Linked DNA regions of Canis lupus familiaris. The protein of the gene in region 1 interacts with the protein of each later gene in a pairwise test. Links are inferred from orthologs where the notes say so. Each region holds a gene or a part of one and is shown on either strand. Other genes may lie near its edges.

Region 1 (3,657 bases):
TTTTGGAAAATATCATAAGACTATATTAGGAATTATCATTTGGAAATCACCATAGCAATAATTGTGTGAGGGAAGTATCTTCAACAGATGATTCTAAAAGGAGTGGAATTGAAGTTTGATGAAAAATATATTTATATAGTCTTAATATATCTCCTCACAAGACTTATTATTATTACTTATCATCTACAAAGGTTTAAAAAGAAAGAATAACTTTACAGTCGAGAAATCTGGTAGTCACCATCTTTACCAAGAGCTAGTTATGACAAGTATTGGAGGAATAGCGTATGTTTCCTGGAATGATGCCCTGAGAAGGACATACTATCATGCCTCTGTGATTCCTGCCAAAGATTCATAATTTAAATCTAATCATGAAATAACAAAAACATCCAATCTGAAGGAAATCCTATAAAATTAGTGACCTATATTCTCAAAAAAAAAAAAAAAAGTCAACATACTGAAAGACAAAAAAATTTAAGAACTGTTCCAGATTAAAAGAGACTAAAAGATTATGACAAATAATTGCAACATGGGATCCTGGATTGACTTTTGGGCCAATAAAAAAAAATTTGCTATTAATAATATTAGAAAAAATACATATAGTGGTAGGAAAGTTGATGAAATATGAAAAAGATTTATAGTTTAGAGAATAGTACTATAATAATCTTAATTTCCTGATTCTGATCATTGTTCTGTGGTTATGTAAGAGAAATTCCTTGTTTTGAGAAAATCAACAATGACATATTTGAGGTAAAGGAGCATGATGTCCATGTCCATGATACAGTCATTGGGGTGACATTATGCCTTTATCAAGGTTACCTCTTTCAGAGACACTGATGATTACGTGAATCTGAGTGATGAATGTGAAATAATTCTTTGTACTATTTTTGAAATGTCTGTGTTGGTCTAATTTTCAAAAAAATATGTTAAAATATGTATCCACATGAACATGTATTTGCATATATGCATATGTGTGTATATGCATTCATGTGTGTGCATGTGTACATACTTCCACTTGGACAATTATGGTAGTCCAAGCATGCAAAAATTTCTTTGTTCTATCAAGAATTAAAAAAAAAGAATACAATGATTAATTTAAAACATGAATGTATGACAAAATTCTTTCAAATTGTTCCCTATCTGCCCATAATTTCCATTTAAGTCTTGTGAAAAAATATTTTTCTTTCTCTAGAAGGACAGTGTCTTTTCAATGATGACATCGTATAAAAGCTTTAAAAATGAAACCAATATGCATCATGAAATTTCTGATTCTAGTGTTAGCATTGTACATAAGCATGGAGAAATTATTTTACATGAAAAATGGTTTGAGGTTGTGGGAGCCAAGATTTGCCAGCCATGGAAAAATGTCATTGGTTTGGAAATAGTTATATTCAGCTTTATTAATACACAGTTATCATCATCTCTTACAAAATTAGGGAAATATGTTTTAGACAGGCCAAATCAAGTATTCATATTTAGAATTATGTTGAACTATAAACTATTTAACTATTAACCATTCTAAAAATAATGGTATTACATACAATTTAACCTAGAATTTCTTATCTATCTCAATAGCATCCATAGAAAGGATTTCTGTTTATACAAATGTTCCTTTATGATTACAAAGTCACTTTCTAGCAAATATTTTCCTATTATAAAAATAATCTCAACAACCAAATAACTTCAGCAGGTTATGTGTAATTAGATGAAGTTTATACTACAAATATGATTTCTTAACATAAACTAAATCCTGGAGAGGATACAATAGAAATTGATTTTGTCAACCAGCACAATCACTGTTAATATGTTCATTGTATTGGAAAAACAATACTAGATTCTTGACACAAAATACAGATACAAAGTAATCAGTTAATTAAATGGCATTTTTAACTTTACTCTTCATTTTCTCGGTTAAATGTTTGAAAATGTGATCATGAAATAAAATAGAGCCCCTATTTTTTAGAATTTAACAATAATAATTTCTGACAATAATATGCATCATTGATTTCCTAATTCAAATCCTAAAATTCAAGCAATTTAAAATTTTTTAATCCATTGATCATCAGAACGACCAAGACTTTTTTCTTAAATGAATTGTTTTGAATTCCATTTCTTTTATTCCTCTTTCTGGTTATGTTTATCAATGCAAAGGTGAATTCTGATAATTGATACATTTCCAAACCTGGCAGGGGGTGGGACTGAGGAATAAAGTTGAGTATCACAGTCACTAGGTAACTGTGAGTTGGAGGTGTTTACTTCAGAAACTAATCGGGAAGGTTACTTTCTCTGTTTCATTGCTCAGACCTTTATGTGTGGCATCAAAGAGAGGGAGTTTATATCAGAACCTGTTAATGTAGCACCATACCTCATGATATTGCAAACTGGGAAACATAATTTTGAGAGATGGCTATTGCTACAGAGCTTCAGAACATGATACATCTGAGATCTATTTGGAATGAGGGCATTTTGATTAGAAAAGCCAGCTGCACCTAATAAAGTTTAGAGCGGTGACAAGTAAAAGTATGAGACCTACGGATTCTGTCAGAAGAGCTCTCGGTCCGGGCCGGGGAGCTGGACACGCTGCTGCTGCGGTGTGATGAAGGGTGGCTGCCAGGCCTCCGGCCCTCCTCCAGAGAGGGGGCAGGCGAAGGGCTGTCTGGGACGCGCTCCTGCGGCACCACGGGAAGCAATTGGGGGAGAAAAGATGTAAATACATGGGAACTGTACTTAATGAATGTTGATTTCCTGCTCATGCAGTACAAAAGAAATGTAAAGGAAATAAATTCATCTTTCATTGGCATTTTCACCTTTTTATCTCCTGCGAAGCTAAAGGAGGGAAAGGCTAGTTAGGACACTGGTTCTATGGGCATGCAGTAACAGCAAATGTCGATTCCCCTCTCTGGATACAAAGAGAGGCCAAGGGAGACAACCCTTTTAGAACCCATTAGACAACAACAAAGTAACAGAACAGGGCAGGTTCCAATTCTAGACGATTATCAACTTAAAGAAATCTCTATGTTCTATTGCTTCAGCTAGTGTCTAAGGATCATTTAACACACAAATTATCAATGTGACCATAATAATAACACTAGAGGGGTTATTAACAGCTTTTTCATCATGGCACTGCTCTGGACACACCTGGATGGTCACATTTTAAGGCATCCTAGAAATCGATTATTATTTCACATTGGAATAATTTTGTTGATTCTAATAATTTGCAGACCACCTGCTTCTCCAAGCTCCAATTCAGCCACATATATGTATTAGGGGAAATTCATGAAATATATATTAGTTGTATCCCAGGGAAACTTGGTATCATGTTTCCTGATACTATTGTTAACACTTAGGTCCCACTCCACATCTCTCCTGCCAAGCCCTGAACCTTCCCCATTAGACTAATGTGCAAATATATCATATAACTGTCTCCAATGAACTTCTATAAATGGAGTTACAGATTAAGAAATAAGATACTCCACTTATTAACATTTTCTTCTTTGAGCAACAAGATATTTATACCTTCAGATATCAAGGCACATAGGCCTCAAAGGACTGTCTTTTCAATAATTAATATTTGAAAGGTTAGAAGTAAACTAAATGATATGGAATAAATCAATAAGTAATTCCTTATTCAGGTGAAAAAATGCAAGTATTAAAAAAGCA
Region 2 (3,657 bases), on another chromosome or scaffold:
AATCAAGAGCTGAGGCTATTACTATGAAAGGATATGTAAGCCAGAGGAAATGAAGGCTTCATAATACAGGGCTTGTGAAATAGGAAATATAGGAATCCTATGCATTTCTATTTGTGTACATTTACATCTGTGGGAGACCAGTCAACATTTGTTATTAATACACAGATCTCTAAAAATAAAAGTGCTTATTATGTTGACTTAGGAAATGTGTTTATTCTAACTACATCAGCTCAATTTTAGTCCTCCTAATTATAGTTAAATCTTCATTTAAGGAATGGTAAGAAACTAAGGGAAAAAAGTAATACCAACATCTAAGGAAAATTAGGAGGACCTTATAATCTCTATTACAAAGCAGATTAAGTGGAAAAATAGCAAGATAAGGAAAATATATATATATATACTTGATTAAAAATGATTCCTACTGCAATTCATAATGACTAGTCATCCTAATTAATGTCATTCCTTTCTACAACACCAAACACTTTCAATTCATTACCATTAGGATTCATGAAGGCACAGGGAAAAAAAATTACAAAACCAAAGCCATTTGTTCTTCATGCAATGAATTCAAGATCATCAAGATAGTCTTCAATTAAAGATGGTTTTTTAAGTTTCTAAAAACGGATAGGAGAAATTAAGTTTCGGGTCTAACCTGAGTTGGTGACAGCCATTTGCCACTAAGTGTGAATGAAGGTGGGGAGGAGGATGGATAATCTGGTGGCAGTTCAAAGTTCAGCACAAGTGGAGGCAGAAAGCAAATGGTGTATTCAAAGCCACCATTCTGGAGACACTCATTTGAATTGCCTGAACCAAAAACAAAGATTAGAAAGAATCAGCTGGTCAACACTTGAGTGTCCATTACTGTTGAACAGTGCTCAAGAAGGACTAATGCTTTAGTTGAGGGGAGAAGAACCCTCCCCCAAAGCAGTTTCTATTTCCTTATTTTAACTTCATAGCCACCACCTTTAAAAAAAAAAATCGTAAGTCCTTGAAAAATCTATTAAGCACCATGATATTTCTGAAGACACATAACTTATTCTCGTGTATACTTTTGAGTACAATTCCTAACACTAGCTAATAAGTAATAAACAATGTTTTCTTCTGTTGTTTTACAGTAGATGATTACAGACACAATCTAGAGAAAAGGATGTTTATTTCTATTAAAGAGCCATGACCTACTTAGAGCAGCATGTGCCAACTACTCATGAATCATACTTGGGAGAATTTGTGCCAACACAATGATCTCAGGCTTGAGGGCAAGATACAACACACAACATTCTCGTAATCAAAGTTTCATTTAAAAAATCACACTTACTTTCTTTACTCAATGCCTTTATAGTAGAAACATTTTGAGAAAGTGTGCATCAAAGTCTTCTGTGAACGTTTGTATCAAAAGTAGTTTGGTTTTTTTTTTTTTTTTCTGAAGCAAAAGGTCACAGAATAACAGCATATGTCACAGGTTTATGGTAGTTGAAATGATTCTGGAAACCAAACAATATTAACAACCACCACGGGACTTTAAAACTTTCCAAGCATTTTTACATACATTATGTCATTTTCTCTTTTATTATCCCTATTTAACAGCCAATGACTCATAGCTGATAAACTGCTAGTTAGAAAATTAGAATGCATGAAATATGCAGGATAATATCCCAATTCGGTGGTCAAAAGGCGAATCAAATTGAGAACTATTTACTCTCAGTCCAATTTTCAATTAAAACAGAAACATGCCTTAAGTCTGTAGTACTACCATCTATCACTAATGCCTACAAACACAAGATAGTAAGTTTGAGGTACACTAAGAAATTGAGAATAACATTTATAAAAATCTGTTTAAGAGAATATTATTAACTAACCGCTCACAAATATCTTGAAATTTTGTGGCAAATCCAAATAGATCCTGGTTTCTCCACCTTGGACAGACTCTGCTTTTCTAAATTCATCTCCATCATAAATACTCGCCAGGGCCAGCAATTCATCCTCCTGAGCTTCTCGATCTTCTGACGACATTTAATTTTCTGAAGAGCTGAAGATAATCATTGAAATTAGTTAAGAACAGAAAAGGCACAGAGTTTGGACAAGCCTAGTGGCACCAAAAAAAAAAAAAAAAAGAAAGGTAAAGTTCCTTACAAACAACTGCAAAGAATTAATCACTATTTCCATATTTCCACTTTTCTGCTAAACTAGATATGATAGACATATCTAATATTCCAGTAGCATTGCAATAGCAATAACTTTTTCAAAAATGACGGTTGTGGTGCTTCTAACTGCTGCCTTCATCAGTTAAATATCACTGATTTAGAAAAAAAAAAAAAAAAAAAGCATGAATTAGGGCAGCCCAGGTGGCTCAGTGGTTTAGCGCTGCCTGCAGCCCAGGGCCTGATCCTGGAGACCCGGAATCGAGTCCCACGTCAGGCTCCCTGCATGGAGCCTGCTTCTCCCTCTGCCTGTGTCTGCCTCTCTCTTTGTGTGTCTCATGAATAAATAAATAAAATCTTAAAAAAAAATTATAGAAAAAAAAAGCATGATTTAAAAAAACTTTAAGATTTTATTTTTTTATTTGAGAGAGAGAGGGAGAGAGCCAGAGAAAGCACGAGCAGAGGGAAAGGGCAGAGGAAGAAGCACACTCCCCACCTAGCAGGGAGCCCAATATGAGGTTGGATCCCAGGACCCGGGATCATTGACCTGAGCCGAAGGCATATGCTCAACTGACTGAGCCACTCAGGCGCCCTTAAATTTTTTTTTTAAAAAGGACAAATCAGGGCAGCCCCGGTGGTGCAGCGGTTTGGCGCCGCCTGCAGCCTGGGGTGTGATCCTGGAGACCTGGGATCAAGTCCCACATCGGGCTCCCTGTGTGGAGCCTGCTTCTCCCTCTGCCTGTGTCTCTGCCTCTCTCTGTGTCTATGAATAAATAAATAAAATCTTTAAAAAAAAAAAAAAAGGACAAATCATTGGGGTCCCTGGGTGGCATAGTCAGTTAAGCATCAGACTCCCTTGACTTCAGCTCAGGTAGTGATCTCAGAGTTGTGGAATCAAGCCTCGCATCAGGCTCCATGCTCCATGTAGAGTTGGCTTGAGTTTCTCTCTCCCTCTCCTGCTTGTGCGTGCGCTCTCTCAAATAAATGAATAAATCTTAAAAAAAAAAAAGACAAATCACAAATTATTTTGATTTGCCCACCAAATCTAGCTAAGTGCCTTGCTCACAGAAGACTAAAATACATGTGATATCTTCCTAAAAATCAATGAGTTTTTTAAATGTACAGAAACCTCTAGGGCAAGTTTTCTCAACCTCAACACTCTTGACACTCGGGAACAAATAATTCTTTGTGGTGGGAGGCTGTCCTGTGCATTACAGGATGTGTACTAGAATCCCTGGCTTCAACCCACTAGATGCCAACAGCATGCCTCCCCCTCAACATAGCCAAATGTGCTTCCCCAACCAGGGGTGCAGAGAAGGGGTACTGCTCCCAGTTGAGAGCACCCTGTTCTAGAGAACATTTCAGGGGCAGATACTACAGGAGAGGGTTAGATAACTAAGGATGCAGCAAAGAAACGTTAAATTTTTAAAAATACTACCAGAGTCCGTCAAAACAATTCTAAGACTTACCATTATTTTAGGCAAAAGTAGGAATGAAAATATACTACAATTAAAATGTA
Region 3 (3,657 bases), on another chromosome or scaffold:
TGTAAAAATGCAATAAAATAAAAATAAAATATTTGTGTGCAATAGTTTTGCACATTATACTTAGCCAAACATAGTTTGTTTGCATATTTTGTACTACCCAAAGTGTAGTTCCATTTGCCAAGACCAGCATCACCTGGGAACTTATTAAAAATGTAGAATCTTAACTCCACGGAAACCTTCTGTATCAGATTCTGGATTTTAACAAAATATCCCTGGATGATTTGAAAGCACATTAACGTTTAAGAAGCTCTTCCACTGCAGGACACCTGGGTGGCTCAGCAGTTGAACATCTGCCTTTGGCTCAGGGCCTGATCCCGGAGTCCCGGGATCAAGTCCCACATCGGGTTCCCTGCATGGAGCCTGCTTCTCCCTCTGCCTGTGTCTCTGCCTCTGTGTGTGTGTGTGTGTGTGTGTGTGTGTGTGTGTGTGTGTGTCTTTCATAATAAATAAAATCTTTAAAAAAAAAAAGAAGAAGAAGAAGAAGCTCTACCACTGAAATATTGAGGGGGAAAAAAAAACCTGTGTCCTCATCACTAAACTAGTCTAAAGAGAATTTTTTTGTATCTTAACTCTCTTAATCTAGTTTTTAATTTAGAATATCTTTAGCCACCCCTCAAAACTATCACTTTGTTCTCTGAAATCTGTTATTCAAAATTCTAATGAAGAGATCAGCTCCTTCATTTTCTTAAACATCTTTGGATGTTTAGTATATGCCAGGCACTTAATTCTCATAAAAATTTAGTTTTTTAACTACAACAGTGTATCTAAGTTGACAGAACTAGTGAGTGGCTGACTGAAGTTGGGGACACAAGTGGTGTGGCTCCCAGATTGGTGCTCTTAACCACCACATGACATCTATTTGGTCATAGCCATGCTCAGGTCTCCTGTACCAGGGCAAAGCCCAGGCAAGGAAGCTATTTGATTAGAAAGAGCATTTAGATTACTAAAGCCCTGTATTGATGATTCAATACATGGAGGTACTTAACTGTTTGTTCCTAAATCAAGGATAAAAATAATTCCCGATGTTTAAGTGAAATATTTCATATGCTTGTACACATTTGTCTATTTCACAACAATGTAAGGAACGAAGATCCTATCTTACAAGAATAACTATGAGTTGAAAAATATTATTCTTTCTGTGCAATTATCTAGCAATAGCCATGATAATTCACAGATGACTGAGCTTTAGAGCCAGACAAAACAATGGAGGAAAGAGGAACAGTTTTATATAAATGTGAACTAAAATCTCACAGTTGCATATTCAAACCTGGAGCAATCAGGAAAATGATATTTGGTTTGTTTATTTTCCTCTGTCCTCCCTCCTATTGTCATTTTTTATGTAGGATACCCTGAAAATTGTTGATAAATATTTCAATTTGATCTAACAGCGTTGTGTTTCTTATAGTAGGGTAAAGATTAGGAACATGTAAATAAGGGTTTTTTTTTCCTATGCAAACTAGACTGCAGATTCAGGACTTTAAAAAGTATCTATGCCTACGCTTTTAATGTTATACTTGCAGTGTCTCCTCTAACTCTAGATGAAAATCCTGTTATATAGGTTAGCAGACAGGTAAGATTCTAGCCTTATCTGTAGGAGAACAGAAATCACTCTATGTCCGCAGTTCAAGAAGACTTAAAAGGTTATGACTGCTACAACTGGAAGAGGACCATACATATCCAATAAATATGTTATCAAGTTAAAAGTCATTTTACACTGGGGAGGAGAGCTAGTGAATGAGAGTGAAGAATATTGTAAAATCAAACTTGAGATGCTTATTGAGGCCAAATTGATGTCTACAATTATAAGTAATTGATGTAATTTTGCTTTTCAGTGTGTATGTACAGAGAGCCATCACTACATGAAATTGGAGAAAAACAAGGGCGTTCAAGGAAAAGTTCTGGAACACCAACCATGAATGGAGGCAAAGTCGTGAATCAAGATTCAACATAGCTGAGAACTCTTCCCTTCATCCCTCTTTCATCCCTTCCCTTTTTTCCCTCCCCTTTACCTATTTCCTTCCAATTAAATCCACCCAAGGAGAGGAAAATAAAATGGCAATCCAGGACCTAGTGACTAAGATTCTGCACTCAAAAATCTTCCTTTGTGTAGGACAAAGAAATTGAACCAAAGCTTGCCTGTTGCAATGTGGTAGAAAATGCACATGCACAAATATTAGCACACATAAAATCAAGGGAAAAAATAAATCAAGACATCACAACATTGTACTGTTATTAATAGAGGCTAATTATAATGAAGACAATAACTATAATAAATTTGAAATAAAGTTACTATCTTAAAGACAAGGGTTTTGGAGAATTGAACTTACAAATCAATGTAATACCCTGAATAATTTAAACTTTGGGTAATGCTGTGATGTGTGCTTTGTGTTGAATTTGAATTTTCTTTGGGCATCTGGAATTGACACATAATTACATCCTGTCTCCAGGATTTTTTTTTTAATCATGATATTGAACATGTACAAATCATAGATTCTTCTAATGCCTGTATGATATAAGCCAGGAATCATTTAAAAGTTTAAAAATTTTTTTCTTGAAGTTGTTACTTATAATTATTTTATGCAAAAGACAGAGTTCTGTTGAATTTAATGATATTAGCTGATTTCATTCCTTCATAAAAAGAGTTTCAGATTAACCTAGAAGATTATAATATTTTTATCAAAGGAATTAATCCAGGATCTCATTTTTATTCATCCTTTAGGAAAAAAAAATGTGTTCTAAGGCTGAGGTAACTTTTGGGAATTCTGTATCATTGTCATGCCTGGGCGGTGATGAATAAGTCATATGGTCTTATCATGTGGTCTGTTTTTTTACATTGTGCACACTTTTGAAAGTACAGGTGCATGTCCAGCTGTGTTAGAGAGTTTTGTACCATCTCTTGCAGCAGGAAAGAAAAAAAAGGGGTTTCACGTAAGGAAATAAGTCCTAGGAAATTGTTAAAGCAAATTGTATTTGCCATTGTACCTTACCAGAGTTTTATGTATGTAGCATTTTCCAAACTTCACCAAGAAATTGGGAGGCATGGCTATGAAATTCCTAACTTACCATGTCATGAAGCCAGTGGCTTGCTTGTTGTTATATAACTTTGTTAATAAGTTTAGTTGACAGTAAGTCTGACTCCTAGAACATAGAAGGGAACTTAATATACTGAATTTTCAAGGGGCATAGAGAAACAATACAGAATTAACAGCTATGGTTCCAACATACCGTTGTGTGAAAAAAAAAAAAAAAAAAAGAACCCTCAGCGTAAGGACTAGGCAAATGCATAGTTAGTAATAATAAAGGATTAGAAAAATATCAGGGAAGAAATGAATGTTATACAATTGCCTTGGAAAAAATAGACGTACTTAGTCCTACAAATCAGGAGTGGTATAGAGACACCCAAATTAAAATAAAACAGAATTTTAAAAAGTGTATGCAGAATTATGGATATTACCAATGAGAAGACTTAGCATGTTACTTCTCCTATAGCTCTACTGTCCAGCATGTATTGTTCCAAATACAACTCCCTAAAATATATACACTCTGCAGAAGCTCTAGGCCTTCACTTAAATGACCTTGCCATTGGTTGCTGTATTCTTTCAAAGTCAATGTAGTTCCCCTCACTCTACACAATCATTATTCTTTAATAGTGGTTTG

Evidence for each region.
Region 2: the proteins of DACH1 (region 1) and RNF14 interact in binary tests that used the Homo sapiens proteins (3 or more experiments, as listed by UniProt). The two-hybrid records come from large-scale screens. The link is inferred for Canis lupus familiaris from reciprocal best matches to the Homo sapiens genes DACH1 and RNF14.
Region 3: the proteins of DACH1 (region 1) and FGF12 interact in binary tests that used the Homo sapiens proteins (3 or more experiments, as listed by UniProt). The two-hybrid records come from large-scale screens. The link is inferred for Canis lupus familiaris from reciprocal best matches to the Homo sapiens genes DACH1 and FGF12.

The regions. Positions count from the first base shown.
Region 1 is NC_049243.1:25,917,851-25,921,507, forward strand, and holds part of DACH1 (dachshund homolog 1), read right to left. Parts: intron 2,667-3,657; coding exon 2,531-2,666; intron 1-2,530. UniProt on the Homo sapiens protein: Transcription factor that is involved in regulation of organogenesis. Seems to be a regulator of SIX1, SIX6 and probably SIX5.
Region 2 is NC_049223.1:36,063,178-36,066,834, reverse strand, and holds part of RNF14 (E3 ubiquitin-protein ligase RNF14), read right to left. Parts: intron 2,040-3,657; exon of another isoform or gene 2,027-2,039; 5' UTR 2,011-2,026; coding exon 1,857-2,010; intron 1,482-1,856; exon of another isoform or gene 1,316-1,481; intron 805-1,315; coding exon 653-804; intron 1-652. UniProt on the Homo sapiens protein: E3 ubiquitin-protein ligase that plays a key role in the RNF14-RNF25 translation quality control pathway, a pathway that takes place when a ribosome has stalled during translation, and which promotes ubiquitination and degradation of translation factors on stalled ribosomes.
Region 3 is NC_049255.1:24,009,370-24,013,026, reverse strand, and holds part of FGF12 (fibroblast growth factor 12), read left to right. Parts: intron 1-1,832; coding exon 1,833-1,951; 3' UTR 1,952-3,657. UniProt on the Homo sapiens protein: Involved in nervous system development and function. Involved in the positive regulation of voltage-gated sodium channel activity. Promotes neuronal excitability by elevating the voltage dependence of neuronal sodium channel SCN8A fast inactivation.